4 linked regions of the Drosophila melanogaster genome follow. The protein of the gene in region 4 interacts with the protein of the main gene of each other region in a pairwise test. Each region holds a gene or a part of one and is shown on either strand. Other genes may lie near its edges.

Evidence for each region.
Region 1: the proteins of Nazo (region 4) and CG30184 interact in a two-hybrid assay, tested with the Drosophila melanogaster proteins (one large-scale study listed by BioGRID).
Region 2: the proteins of Nazo (region 4) and CG9855 interact in a two-hybrid assay, tested with the Drosophila melanogaster proteins (one large-scale study listed by BioGRID).
Region 3: the proteins of Nazo (region 4) and CG31522 interact in a two-hybrid assay, tested with the Drosophila melanogaster proteins (one large-scale study listed by BioGRID).

The regions. Positions count from the first base shown.
Region 1 is NT_033778.4:23,562,094-23,565,347, reverse strand, and holds CG30184 (uncharacterized protein), read right to left. Parts: upstream 1,376-3,254; 5' UTR 1,270-1,375; coding exon 598-1,269; 3' UTR 568-597; downstream 1-567. Other genes in the region: Pi3K59F (phosphatidylinositol 3-kinase 59F), read right to left, coding at 1,536-1,981, 2,040-2,401, 2,476-2,749, 2,821-3,254.
Region 2 is NT_033777.3:4,395,437-4,399,795, forward strand, and holds CG9855 (uncharacterized protein), read right to left. Parts: upstream 2,440-4,359; 5' UTR 2,272-2,439; intron 2,205-2,271; 5' UTR 2,201-2,204; coding exon 1,676-2,200; exon of another isoform or gene 1,621-1,675; coding exon 1,424-1,620; exon of another isoform or gene 1,367-1,423; coding exon 940-1,366; 3' UTR 543-939; downstream 1-542. Other genes in the region: CG9853 (uncharacterized protein), read right to left, coding at 3,317-3,949, 4,010-4,244, 4,306-4,359.
Region 3 is NT_033777.3:4,459,837-4,464,611, reverse strand, and holds the start of CG31522 (uncharacterized protein), read left to right. Parts: upstream 1-1,728; 5' UTR 1,729-1,985; exon of another isoform or gene 1,986-1,992; intron 1,993-4,775.
Region 4 is NT_033777.3:8,286,113-8,289,171, forward strand, and holds Nazo (nazo), read left to right. Parts: upstream 1-1,763; 5' UTR 1,764-1,926; coding exon 1,927-2,128; intron 2,129-2,185; coding exon 2,186-2,406; 3' UTR 2,407-2,501; downstream 2,502-3,059.

The sequences.
Region 1 (3,254 bases), on a different chromosome or scaffold from region 4:
ATGCACATGGCCGCGAGTGTGCTAGTCCCGTTTTTTTTCGTTTTTTTTCGTTTGTTTGTGTTGCCTCGGGCGGCAACTTTAGTGGCAACGGCTAACTTTTAGCAAAAGTTTTAGCAACGAGTACCTGCAACTAACTAAAACCACAGGCACACAGACCCAGAGCTCGAGCGCCGCCCGCAGAAGTTTCCACCACGCATCGAACTATGAAAATCGGAAAAGTTTGCAGACAGAAATTTCCAGCCATGCATCCGCACAATGGCGAAGTGGACGACGCAGTGCGTTCCCCCCGCAACTCACCGCACCGTTCGCCATCGTCATTAAAGCTGGACTCCTCCGCAGGCTTAAACCAATGCAAAAATCCACAAAATCGACACAATTCCGGCAAAAGTAACGAAAATCACACGCGGCGCGCCAAACAAACTTCCAAGAACCAAAGGAACTGTAAACGAACAGCTGTCAAAGTGCGCGCGCTCCAAGAGACGGGGCTGTTATGCGGCGAACAGCTGATGGCGCCAGGGCTGCACAGCAGCGGGCTTTCAAAAGGCACAACTACAGTGAGCACACGAGCAGGTGAACGTTAATATTTAATTACTTGAGCTATTTGAAAACCTCCGAGTTCCTAATCCGCTCCTCCTCCCTCTCCTTGGCATCCGAGTCCGACTCGGAGGACGAGACCTGCCGCTTCCGGCCGGAATGCTCCGATGGCTGGGCGCTGGTCAGCATCCTGGCGGCGATGCGCCGAAAGAACCAGAAGCGACTGAGATAGGCCTCCGCGCCCCGGCTGATGAAGTACAGCTGCAGTGGTCGCTTGCTCCGCTGTGGATGCATCTTCTGATTCGCCCGACTGCGTGAGTGGGAGAACATGAGATCCAGAGCGAAGGTGCAGTGCATCAGATAAATGGCGCCGGCGTACAGAGCCACAATGGCGTTGTCCCGACAGCACGCATAGAAGCTGGGCCAGCGCTCAGTGCGGAACTCCTCCAAAGTGGCCACATACATGTTGGCGTACACGGTGACCATGTGCAGGCCACCCAAGATCCCACCGAACAGCGCCTCGTGCTTCATCGTCGGCCGCTCGGCGTAGAAAGCTCCAATCAGTGATATGAAGCATATGATCACCGAGCCGCCGTACGTTCCGCACAGCAGGAAGATGTGCGGCACACCCTCCTCCATGAAGCAGGTCCAATGGACGAGGCAGCAGCCCAGGCTCAGCAGCAGCTCCATCATCTTGAACAGGAACCAAACGGGCTTCTTGGAGCGCACCTGCATGTTTGCCCGATTAAATGGTTATACTACAATTGTGACAAGATATATAGTATATGTGGATACATTTGGTTCCGCACAACGGACTTTTAGCTACAGGCCACCTACGACTAAAGCAAACTTACGACTAGGATTTAAAGGATAAATAATATTAATAAGTATTGATAAGTATAAGGTATTAATCTAATGTACACTTTTGATGTTAAACAACTCAGCTGAACCGAACTAGGATTACTCGCTCCTCCCACAATTTCTTGTGCAAGCAATGTCCTCTACTTCCGCCAGTATTGGGTGAACCGATGAATCTGCTCCACCAGAGCCGGCATCACCGCCGTAATGGACACGTCCAGGAGGCTCTGCAAGTGCTGCACTGCCTCCTCGTCTGTGAGGCCCAGCTGCAGGTTCTCCTCCACCTTCTTGACCGCCTTGTCGGGCTCGAGAGCGATATCCGGCACAGTGGCGTCCACCATCAGAGAGAACAGGTTGAGCATCACGTTGGCATGCCGCCGCAAGTGCAGGTACGCCGTGTAGCACTGCTTGCGGAACTCGTGGTGATGCTCGGAGCTGATGCCGCCCATGGCCTCCACCATTTCCTTGCTCAGCTTCATTGGCGGCGGCATGGGCTTGGGATCGCGTCCCAGAATGTAGCCGAAATCGATGTGGAAGAGCTTGCCGTTGGTGGTCAGCAAGAGGTTGTCCAAGTGCCGGTCGCCCACACCTGCGAGGAAATTCCAAGGATTAGCGGAATCCACCTGGTTACACTCCTTTAGTCTCACCCAGCAAATAGGTGATCACACAGTAGCCCGCGCAGCTCTTGATGTAGGTGTCCATGACCTCCGCCGAAATGCCGTAGGGTCCATTGTCGCACGGATGATGCTTGCGGAAGAAGTTGTGGATGTTGCCCTCCCGCGCCAGCACCTCCGCCACGGTGCAGGAGTCGACGTACTGGAGGAAGCCGTGCTTGGAGCTGGTGGCCAGCACTTTGTAGGGAGTCAGCTTCAGGTCGAGGTTCTCGCGCCTCAGCAGCTTGTCCATCAAAGTTATCATCTGCAGGATGAGCTGATCCTGGCGCAGATCATCACCGTGCTTGAAAATGGCCGCGTACTCGTGATGGGCAATCGAAGTGACAAAGGTGAGCCTGCGAATAGGATTAAGGATTAGGATTGAAGTATTCAGTGAGTGAGTAGAGTTTGTTGGTTGGTCATGGCGTACTTGGCTGGCATCAGGGCGCTCTTGAAGAGCGATGTGCGCATGGGCACGATCTTGGTGATGTAGATCTCCGGATCCAGGGGAAACGGAATGGGCTCGAAGTTGGTGAAGTTCACCTTGAACATGTCCTGTTCGGCCAACAGTTTCTGGAACTTCTCAGTCTTCTTATTGCGATTTCCCGGCTCCTTGGCCACCAGTTTCACCAGTTTGACCAGCTCGTCGATGAAGCGCCGCTGCTTCCGGAGGTTGTAGAAGATGCCTCTCAGGTTGAAGTTGCCTGTGCGGATGAGCGGATTAGAGAATTAGGGAATTAGAGAATGAGCCATGATTTCGTTAAATTACACCCACCGTTCTCTAGCACCTTCAGAAACATCTTGAGCACCATGGCGTACATGTCGTGGGCCCTCTCGTCCTGCTTCCTCACCGACTCCACTTCCTCCACCTCGATGGACAAGTACCAGTAGAAGTAGTTGGCCAGCGTGGCGTTCGTGCAAGCGCGCTGGATCAGGAATGTGCAGAGATTGGCTGGAACACTGCCGAAGCTGATGCCCTCGGCCAGCATTAGGGCATTGGAGTTTGAGTCGCAGGGCAACGAGCTGCTGCCCGGAGTGGCGGGAGCAGAGGGGTTTGGCAGCGCAACCGATCCCTGACCACCACTGCCACTGCCACCCGCTGAACCGGGACTCACTGACTTATCGCTCTTGATGGCGGCCAAAACACTGGCCGCTCGCTGATTGGCCGGAATGACCGAGCCGTGGAGTCCACTGCTCGTGGCGCTCAGA
Region 2 (4,359 bases), 3.9 Mb from region 4:
TCAGCGTATCTACCAAATGCACACACGTATCTTACTTGTGCTCCCGGTGATAAGCGCAAATAGACAAAACAAACAAAAACTTGCTAACAATTATAAATGATTATATCGCTTTTTGGAGCGTTCACTTCGGACAGTTCTTTAACAGTATATATTGTCTTCGCTTTAGCTACTAAACGCATAAGCCAAACTGAACGCTTTTTCCCATATTGATTCGCTCGATCGTTCGAACTTCGCAGCCAAGTTAAAGGAAGGGTACATGTGTTGTATATGATTCAGACAAACTTGACCAGATGTAAGAAATCACATCTTCTACGTATGTAAAAACAAGCTTTGTCAGCCGGGCGGTTACTGTGCGGATTCATTGTCAAGAATCTTAGTGACTCAGCAGCGGCGAGGGCCTAAGGGATTTAGTAAACGCATTAACACATTCATTTGTTCCACCTTCGTAACTAGCACCTGCAATCAAAACTGACACCACCAATTTGGATAGCAATGAATGATCACTACAGCTTTTCTGTACAATATACTAAATAGTTAAACTTCACCCACAGCCGAGGGTATTATTTATTTACAGAGGCAACTTTTTAATTTATAAAAAAGGTAACGTATAAATTCAAAGGTGTGGAAGCATATACATATATAAATCCTTTATCTTCTATATCAATGTTATATCTACGCAAGGACATGGCGGATTTTTCACAAATTATTTTCCAGGGCTAGTCAGCGTCAGCGTTTTAATGTACATTTATTTTCCGGCCATTAAACAGTGTACTTTAACAATAAATTTAGCTTTGTTATCTGCAGACAATTAAAAATTTTTGTCCACCTAAATTAGGTGGTGATGTGAGCGTCTTGAAAGTGCAAGAGGTAAAACAATTAACTTAAAACAAACCATAACTCGTAGAAAATAAGTGGCCCTACAGTTGAATCCAATTACTTCTAGACAACGCTACCACCACTATCGCCGCGTTGACGTGTGATTACAGCGTCCCTTCGCTCCGCTGGTGGCACTGGCCTCTGCTCGGGCAGCCTTTCCTGCCGCGCCGCTGCTGCCGAGTTATTGTTGCGGTGCATGAAGTTCCGAATATTTTCCTCAGTGTAGTCCACAATTCGGCGCTTCTTGCGGCGGCCGTACTGTTTCTGCTTCAAATAAATTTTCAGAATTCCCTTGACCGTTATAAAGGTCAGACCTCCAAGCAGAGTACGATGCAATGTGTTATCAACCGTGTCAAAGAGAATACGTCCCACGATCGACGATATGGTGGGCAGCAAGAGAGCGCCGCAGAAGACCCTCGTGGCTGAGACAGGGTCAGAGAGAGCCGGTGTGGCCGGATTGCTGATGCTTTGCTGTTCCTCTTCCTGGCTGCTGCTTAAATGTAAAGTAATAAAAGTCTGCTAACCCTGACATTGTTGATGCACTTACAGGTTCGGATAAATAAGGCTTACAAAAGGAAACTTCCGCACCACCGTCCCGCGGTTTCGAATAAGACGCAACAATGCATCCTCCCAGCGAATCAATCGACCAAGCACAAGCCCCACTGGAATAGCCGGCAACCCAATAAGGAGAACGAGCGGATCTCCAGACTCCATTATGGACATGCCGTGCTCATGTCCGACAATCTACAGACAATTAATTCTCTTAGCATGACAACTGATTAAAAATGATAGGTTGTACCTGTAAAAATGTGACTGCTCCGTAAGTTACTGCTGTCCAGTAGAGGGAGCCCACGAAGAAACCAGCCGCCAGGAAGGGGCTCAGGCGCTTGATGAGGTTATCTATTGCCTCTAAAGCACCTCCAAGCTTGCCCATCTGCGGGAACACTATGATGTACTCCGTTTGGCACTGCGGACACGATACAGTGCGTAGAGCGTTACCCTTCTGGGTTTTTTCATCGATCCAGCGGTAGAGGCAGCTCTGGTGCACCCACTTGGTGGTGCCGCGGCACTGACAGGGCTTCACCCACGCCGCCAGACGGTTGTCCTCATCGGTGGCGAAGCAGATCCAGCAGCAGCGTTCCGGCTCCCCCCCATCGACGGCCACTTGGACGGCAGTGGAAGTGGAAGCGTCCGTGGCTTTGTTCGCTGAAGCAGGTGGAACGGTCAGCGTGGTGTGATCCTCCACGGCTGGTATTGCAGGCGTCGCACAGTCCACAGATGGCGCCGCACAGTCCACAGAGGGCGCTGCAGCTTTGTCGGCCATTTCGCTGAAAGTATAACACAATGTCCTATGTTTATCGATGCACAGAGGCCCAACCTTAAGGTCCTGCTTACTTTGCTCTCACTCGGCTTTGTTGTGCGGTGATTGGCCTTTTCGGTTAAAGGTTGTGGCTTTAATTCTGAGCGTTTCTCAACTTTACTCTTATTTTGGGTGGTTCAACGAAAATAAAACTAACTAAATAAACCCAATCTGATTTATTCTACCAGGGCACTTTCAATGATTTTTCGGACGGACCAGATCTCAGATTGTATTTTCCAGGTCGACGCTAACTTACCCTTGTGCTGGTCACACTTATATCGCAACATAAATATTTTTTTGGGATTTCGTCGTATTATTTTTAAGCCGTCGATTCCAGAAGGACAAGTTAGATACATTGTATAATTTTTAAAAACGATTGACCTACTTACGAAATATTCACACGTATTCGAATTCTACTACCTAGTCCACTACTGACTTAAAATATACATAATTTAAATTTGGAAAAACAACTTTTCTGAATTCTTCCGCCAATACAGAATAACACAAAAACGGAGGGAAATGAGAACAAATTATACTACACCTAAATAAGGGATTCTGCTTTTATGTTACAAGCCGGGTTGATCCCGCATATTCAATGTCGACTTTCGATGCTGGTTATTTATTTTTGGAAATACAAATGTTATAAAATTATAAAACTTTTCAAATATTTCAATTAATTAATTTTTCTTTACAATTTTTTCCCATTTTAATTGCATCCTCGAAATGTCGACTATGGGATGTATCGCGATGTATTTTCACGTTGTGACGAAGCGCACCCGGATATTGTGCGTAGGAGGCAAGCACTACAAAAGCACAAAAATCCAATTACCAGTTCAAAAGATATTCCCAAAACAAGATTTTTGAGAACTTGTCATAGTGATTTTTGTTTGAATAACTATTTTTTTATAATTTGCATAATCAAGACCATACGCTTATTTAAAATTATTTAGCATACAGCAATTTAAAGTTATAACAAAATAGCCCGATGATTTTGTGGCAAAGAACTTCATTGACTTTGAGCAACCAAAAAGACCAGCAACAAAGGATCCCTCTTCGGTATGCTTCATTAATGCATACATGCTATTCCAGTTCGTTATTCTCGTTTTGCCGCCTCAGGGTCGTGTCATGATCGTCCGCATCATCTTCCTCAAAGCCCGCCATAAGGCGATTGAATATGTCACCAAACATTCCGCCCAACCCGGGCGGGCCAGAATGAGCAGCCTCCGGATGCTCGTCGAAATACAGCACCCCAATCTTGGCTACGTACTTTAGAAAAGACGTGTCGCGCTTTAGGGATGGATCGTAAAGCTTGCGTAAGGCCCGAAACCCAGCCACACGCTTCGCGTCAATAAGACGGAATAGGAAGTACAAGAAGTTGACCAGCGGTTCCTTATAGGGGAACTCATGCTTAAGCAGCTTGGCGTGGTAGCGTGTGTACTCAGTGAACGTGTCCTCTGCAGTTTTCCGATCCTTAAGGGATAGCTGCTGCAGCACAGCTTGTACCAGAAACAAGTCCATCTCGCCCTGGAAGCCCCTGCTCTGGCTGATTTCAATTAGCACTCGCCCACATAGGCTGCCATCCTGGCAGAGTAGATAGTGGTGACGAGCCGACTCAATGTTGCCCTCGGTCCAAAACACGTGCGCAATTAACTTATGGAGCACTGGGTGGCCATACTGGCCATGCAAGGCCGTGCTCCACTTAATGGTCCGTTGCTAAAGGAAAAAAAATTTCATTGCCGGTATAAGTCGCGTTTAATAATGTCAAAGACTCACAATAAGGGTTTCGCGCTCTACAGTCGCGGAGTTAAGGCCGCGGATCAAAGCCCCTAGGCGTGGAACCCACAGGAAGTTGTCGGTATCTTCCGCCTGTGGTCCTCGCTTCTCTAACGTGTCCACCAGAAGGAGACATAGGTCCGCGGCGCTGCTTTCCTGTTCCTTGGCAATAAGCTGCTGTGCTCCATCAAAGAGCAGTTCCAGGCAGTCCTGATAGCGTTTCTGCGCCGTATACCTAAGGAATCGAATTTCTTATTGGATTGCATTTCCTTGCACGGATTATACAAATAGTCTACCGAAAATACAGCGTCCTATACATCATGTGCGCTTCATAGAATTCTCCTCCTGCC
Region 3 (4,775 bases), 3.8 Mb from region 4:
TATATATGTAGATTCGTTGAAAAGAAAGAAATTTAAAGCGGTTATGGTAGTCCGATCTTAGCGTAAAAGATCAAGCGATTACATACCAAGACTTTGAGAAAAGTAAAAAAAAATTTGGCTGAGCCCCACTACCAAACATATGTTAAAATTAAATTGGAACCTTTTGGGCGTCTTGTTCGTCCCTTAAAAAGCATTTTTTGAAATACTTTACCTAAGCCCATAATTTGTGCTACATGTCATTAAAAACGCGTTTGCAAATGATTATTTGCTTTTCACAATTGTTTTGTCTCAAACAACAGATTAAAATGTAATACCCATTACCCGTAGAGTCAAAGGGTAGACTATAGGTAGGCAGTTTATGTTCTTTTCTGACTCGATAAAGAACATATTACTTCATCAGGACCAATAGACCGTATAAACGTCAAGATCTCTCTTGTTTTTTTTTTTACGATGATCGTTGAACGCTCGGCTGTGCAAAAGTGCAGAAACGTACCAAACAATCGAAAAAATCAAATAACAATACAGATTGCCACTGACTTAATGTACAAATGGGCCAGTACTTAATAGACGCGTACTAATTTTTGGCAAACAAATCCGCTAACAGGCGGCGACAGCTGGGCTGTACAGGCTAATATTTAAGCCCCTCTTGACCTTGTCGGCTCTCGACTCTTGCCGCATCAGCCGGACAGGGCGCGATGTTAGCCAAGTTGACATAACTTAATGCATCATAATGCACCGGCGTATTTGGAGCTGGAGCTGCGACGGAGACTATCGGCACTTCAGGCTAGTGTTAGCGTTAGATAATAATAACTATTTCCCAGCTCACTTTGGCACGCGCCCTTTGATGCGTTGTGACCAAACACTGAACCCTGACCAATTATCAATTGTATTATTACTACCAAGTATCCGAATTTCGTTTACAAGGAATGAACTTTGGAGAATTAAAAAAACTGTTGGAAAAAAACTATTAATTCAGGCAAAAGCTGCGAGTAACGACCGCTATAAAAATAAAACCCCTATTTTCTTAAATACTATCGATTTGGAACATATAATTGTAGGATAATTAGACAATAAATCTTAAGTCACCCCATATTTTGCGAAAACTCTTTCATCATGTTCCAAGCAATTCTTAATTGTTGGTCATACGGTTGGCCCAAAGTTTCGAATAAGGCCGTATATCTGTGCGTATCCATGATTATAAGCCAGATCACCTACACGGGCAGGAATCGTACGCCTCGTAATTAACATGGATGATTTAACGCTGTGAAAGGCCAGGTATCGGGGCTGTTCGGAAGTTCACTCCATGTAATATTTACTCGCTGGCAGTGTGCGATTGCTATTGCGACGGTAGCCACACTTGAACCTTGCCTGCGCCGCTGACATCAGACAAAAAAAAACAAGGTTCGGGTTCAGATTTGGGTCTTGGGTTCGGGATCTCCGGATCTGAATCGAGTCGCATCATTCCCGGTGTCCGGGAATAGCCAAGAGCCAATCAGGCCATTTGCCATCTTCGTGCACTGCACTTGACGCTCGGCGGCGGAAAGTTTTCGCACTGCACTCGGTCGGTGCTTGCCGCTGACCGTAACGTTTCCACCGCAGCCGCTGCGCTGCCAGTGGCGTTCTTCCCTGCGCTGGCGCTCGCGGTTGCGCCTGCGCCTCCGCTTCGTCGGCGTCGCGCGATCCGCGTTTAATTAGCCGCGCGGCGCGATCGCGGCTCAGTTTTCATTCAGAAGTCAAGCGCGCGCTAATCGCAGACGCAGTCACCGATCCCGTGTGCGAAAGCCGAAAGCCAAGAGCCAAAAGCTATTGCGAAAGTAATCATTTTACAAAGTTCTTTGGCAACACTTTGTGAAATAGTTCGGGCCGCGCAATTTGTGTGTTGTGGTTTTTGCAGTTTTTAGTTTTCAGATTTCGGTTGCCAGCGATTTACCAACCGAGCTGCTGCTGGCCGCCTTCCGTTGCGGATTTCGAGCTGTTTGCAAGTGGTAAGCTGTAAGTTGTTCGCACATGTGATTTTTGTTTTTCGCTCTTTTGCAACTGCGCGGCGCTTGGTCCGTTCACAATAAGCATTTTGGACGGCGCTCTCCACGCCAAAACACCTCCCCGCTCTGGCCAATCTGCCCGGCTATAAGGCGCAGATCGTCCGAGCTAATCGATTTGACTGGCCAATCGGGCTGTTCGATCCGGTGTTTCCAATGGTGTGGCAACCCTGCCATTTGGCGGTTGCACAAAATCAGCTTGCGTGGGGCATTTGATTCCCAGCGAGGATCCGATGCTGAGGACCTCTGGAGAATCCTCGACGTGTGGTCGCAGGCGGGATTCCGGCGGGATTTAGCCCTGGCCTGACTGGCAGCGCAGCGGCAGACCACGAACAGCTGGGCGGATTTGTATGCTGTTTGAGCAGCTGTTCTGGTTTCTGGACTGTTGACTCCCAATATACCGATAGGTTTTGTTTTGCTGACCCCTCGAGATAATGCATAAGAATTAGCCAGCATCGTAAAGCTTTTCACCGTTGACATTGGGTCCAAAGTAGCAGAAGCGCAATTAGTGCGCCCTTCGCGAATAATTGCCAGAGTTTTTCTTGCACTAAAAATATACAAAATGGTAATCCAAGGCAACTCGAAACAAGTGCGGAAACGATTCGCACAAAACCGGATCTGCAATGACCCGATTTTGGCCTTGGACTTGTCGCAGGGCATCCTGATCGTGGCAAAAAGTTTCCTTGAGTGTTTCCCAGTCAGGCGAGGTGGTCGAACGAAAACCGCTTCTGGGACCGACTTTCGAGGTCTTGTGACTTACTGATCGATAATGGGATAATGGTAGTGAATGGCTCCAGATCGACGATCGCTTCCGCGTTGGCTGTAATTGGACATCATAAATTGAACCGCCCAGAAGGGCTTGCTCATTGTTCTTACCCGGACTGGAGCCACTCAGGCGCTCCTCGGCGGATGCCACTAAGGTGGCAAATACTTTCAAACAGTAAGCTGGGATTTCGCTTTCCGTATTTACATATGCAAACCATTTGGGTTTTTTTCGCGCTCACCGTTCTTCAAATGCCACGCACGTAGCCGCGTTTCCAGCGAATTTACAGGCTACACGCCAATCCCCTGAGATCGCAGATCCGAGATCTGAGGCCCGACTCTCAAGAAGCCTCAAGAAGCCTCAGCCAAAACTTACCCAAACATTAAATCGCTCAACGCTCGCCGGCGTGGCCGCAGCTCTGGCTCACACCGCTTACTCTCTACTTATAAATAATTTAAACACAAAAGTTTGTTTGTCTAGAAGAGGATCTCGCTTCCACATCGAATAGCGCAATGGGGCGTGCTAACAACTGCGATTTGCGGAAGCCAAGTGTTAGGAAAAGAGCCGTAAACGTTTACATTTACGTGAAAGTATACCTTTATATGTATACTATTGTTTGCTATTATGTTTGCTATTGAATGCATTACAAACGGTTTAAATGTATTGATAAATACAAAATAGAAGGGCATACACTTTTGTCTGACTCCCATTATATATATATATATATGCATATGCATATATATGCATATATATACTTCTACCGACCATAAAAGCCACTAACCGATAGATAGGCCGCCGCTTGAATACCAAAATGTCTTGGGCAGTTTTCGAATATTTTAAACAATTACTACATTACAGTTAAGCGCCAATAACAATACCCGTACAATTCCTGGATTAAAGCAAGATTTCGTATCTTAATCTGGTAGCAATCCAGTTTGTACAATACGAACATTTTGTATATAAACTTTATAAAAAACACCTCCAAATATGTGGGATTAAAGTGACGATGACACTTCTCAAGTCCTAAAATGGCAATTAGTTAAACTTTTTTTTAACAAATTTTGCAGACAAACACATTTTGGAAAATGTCATTCAAATCTTGTTTTATAAATACAAGAATTATAACTAGAATTGCTCCCCCTTCTTCCTAGCTAATCATCATTCAACAAGAGATTTAAATCATCAAAAGATTATTCGATCACGATATACATAAATGGCTCTGATCAGACTCTCGGTTCTCATCGTCACTACGTAAACTGCCATCCACAGCGATGTTAGGGGACTTTACTTGGGATAAGCACACGTACCTACTTATAATGTCAATTGGAAGACAGCGTTTTGCAGTGACTAATGAAAACAATTAACAGAATTTCGTCCGCCTATGTCTGCGACGTGTACGGCATTAAAAATATTCCAGAAGCAACAACACTATCAGCCACATCTCCGCACTTTAGACAGAAGATACTCACAACTTGTTCATGACACTAAAACAAGTTGAGACATCACCTAGCTTGCACTTCGGTTTGCATTACCTTAGTTCTGCTTTGAGTTTCAACTTCCCCGATTTGATTCGACAAACTGGAGTAACTAGCGTAACTAGACTTACTCTACTCTAACTAGAGTTTACAACAGCAGTCTTTGAAACCCCGGGAAATTAGTTAAATAGCTTGTCAGTAAATTGACTTAATTAGTGAGCCGAAGCGCGAACAGCAAAACGAAAAGGAGCTGCAATATGCCCAATAAGACTAACATTTAGAAGAACACCACAAATTGATCGTTATAAGAAACTTCCGTTTCAGAAATATAAGTCCAATACCATGGTTAAGTATTCCTTATGGTTTTCGAGACTAGGGTACATTCCTTATAAATTCCTAATTAATTATTATACACAATACTTGTAGGGTAGACCTGAACTTGAAATGTATTTGATAGAAAGCATATCTTCGACGCTTTATTTTCTTTTTGTTTCCGGA
Region 4 (3,059 bases):
TGGAGGAATGAGGGGAGGAGGAGGAAAAGACCGGCCAAAGATGGCATATGTTGCGCCTTGGCTCTATCTCGCTTTGGCCAATGCCCCGCAGTGGGTCCTTTTCGCTGGCTTTCACTCGCACGCCACGCGGCTCGTCCTGCAGACAGCCAGCAACAATAACGATTATTCGGCATTGTGTGAGCAAGACACGCCATTTGGTCGCAGGCGGAAACCTCGATCCTTCAACCTCAAGCATCCCATATTTATATGTACATAGTAGACAACTGCTAGCTAGCTAGCTCCCAGCAGCTAAGAGCGATCCGCTCTTGATTCAGTTACAGTTACCCAAAAGTTCAGCAGTAGCACTTGGAAGCCCACGCAATTAAAGGTGCATCAATCAAAATTAAAGACAATCCGGCAGCGATTTTTAAACGCCATCTAGGCACGTCAGCCGAATTCTGAAAGAAGACGGCCCTTTGATATGCGAATCTTCCGACATGTGTGCATGACAATATCACTTGTGCCAATATGGCTCAAGGTAAAGACTATTAAATTCAAATTAATGCTTAAATCCTGACAAGCAATCGCCAAATATAAACGAACTCCTCTGAATTGTGCTAAAACTCAAACAAAAAGGAATGTGTTCACAATAATAATAGGAAAAATTTTATTTAAAATATTAAAAATGCATAGATTTCTTTAAAAATATATGTAGGATGTTTATTGTTTAGCACAATTGTTTATCTTATTAATATTTTATAGAAGTATAGTTTGCTTATTATATTAGGTATTTAATAAAAAGATGACTCGTGCCAACACTTCTTGATCTCCGGGCATACGACGACTACACAACTTTTCCTTACTCCGGACACGACAACTTTCGGCTTTAAGATCTTTTTTTAATTACACAACCTTCAACTCGCTTTGTTCTACTTCTACTTTAAGCTTGTCCTATTTTCTTACCTTTGCTACCCTTTGCGAAGATTATCGATCATCGCATATCGATAACTATTGTTACATACATATTATTTTGTTTATTAGTACATGTATTAAAATATGGTATTTTTAAAGTTTGGCCAAACGTTTATTTCTATTGATACCATTGGCTGGTAAAAAAGTCTGATAACAAGTTTGGTTCGCGTTAGAACCCATAATTCGTCAGGCAGAAAACTTGTTAAAATGGTGAATCTTGACTTAGAAATGATTTTGGAGACTCTCCTGAACGCGGCGAGGAGGAAAAGGGAAAGGGAACACCTTGAAGGTTCTTCGGAAGGTAAGTTCCGCCAACGGCATATAAACATAAACATAAACATAAACGGTCAACTTACAGAAGGCGAGTATAAAACACTAAACGATTACCTACCTATCATATCAATTGTATTTGAAATGTAGGAGTTATCTACTGGATGTATGAGAAAATTGCGGATTTGACCTTGAGGGTCCTGGCAGAATTGGTTGACTTTGTGAAGGCAGCTATTATAAAAATAGTTGGTGTCGCTACAAATGCTGTGGAGTGTTTCAAGCGTGATTTTACAGTGCAATGTGCCGCATTGGAAGCCTTTGTGGTATTTTTAACCAGTAATTTGGGATTTCAACTGGAAATGTAATTATTCATGCGGTTCAAAAAATTCCATTCCATGCCTGCTAAATCATTGGATGCACTGCCATAAGATTATGATTTCTTTATACTTGGGTTCTGATATCGGGTACTCCTAAAAAAAAGCTTTCAATCTACATATGTACATATGCGAAGCTTGATTGCAATGATAGATTAAAATTGATTTCGATGATTTGGTTTGTATCGAGTAACTCCCCTCCACAGTGGCGGATATACAATTATTGCACTACTGATAACGAAATAACAACGTGATTGTACTCAGTTGTTAGAAAGATCGTCACCGGGAAAGAAGTAAAACTTTGTAACGGAAATATACATAAATTGAAAATATGGATTCAGCCATCTCAGAGATAATCAATGCCCTGGCTATACTGGCCGACGATAAAAATATCCAGTTGACCATCAAGGAGGCCGGCAAGGGAGCTGCAATTTGTGCTGGCGCTGCGCTGATCGGAGGACTACTGCTGGGCCCCCGGGGACTGGCACTGGGCGGGGCCATCGGTGGTCTCACCGCCTACGGACTTACGGAGGGCAAGAGTGTCTAGCGTTACATGGTGACTATCATTCTTATCAGTCTTTTAATTCCAGGAAATTTCAAATCTCTAAGTGAGGTCATTTTGAACGATTTGACGGAGAGTCAGCGTCGAGAACTGGAGCAGCACGTGATCAGGGCCATATCCGAAGTTAGAAATGTACGCGTTCGAGATGTCGCAAGACTAATACTAAATAACCGGCATGTGCAAGAGGTTGCACTCGAAGCAGTCAAGTCCTATATCACTGATCGTATGGGAATGACCATCGTTGATTAGGCATTAATAGAAATATTTTTTAAACTATATTTCTCGATGATTAATGCTATAACACAGAATTTTGCCTGCAACATAAATAAATTGTTGGCGCACTGAATGATTTTATTTTAAAATCTATAGTAAAAACCATTTCAGCTTATAATTTAATAGTCAGTGACTAGCCTTTTCGATGTGCCAGATGTAAAAAGATTGTTTTGCTCAGAGCTCGGCTTTCAATAGACAAGAGTCGCGCGATCTACGTCATCAAAATCCGTCAGATGTCTGGAGGAGCTGAACAGATGTTGGAGTAGGCGGAATTTGTGCAGCTACACTACCAAGGCGATCATCAGCAGGGCAACAACTGTTACAAGCAGTAAAAATAAGATAAAATTCAGAGACTCTTAGTGAAATTGCGGCAAGAGCCGAAATAAAGAGTCGTAGAAATTTCGTTGCTGCACTGTGAACGACGAGAGAGATGTGTGATGCGATGCTTTGGTGTATCTCACGGATGCACAGATACTCGCTTCGGATATTCGCTCAGTGTGCGGTAGGCAGGTCAAAATAATTTTGCTTACTGCGGAAGCGAGAGGAAGAGGAAAAAAACTGGCTGATCTCGATCTCGATCTCCGTCTCTATCTCTTTCTAGGGCCAGCTGTCGCCCATTTGGATCGGAT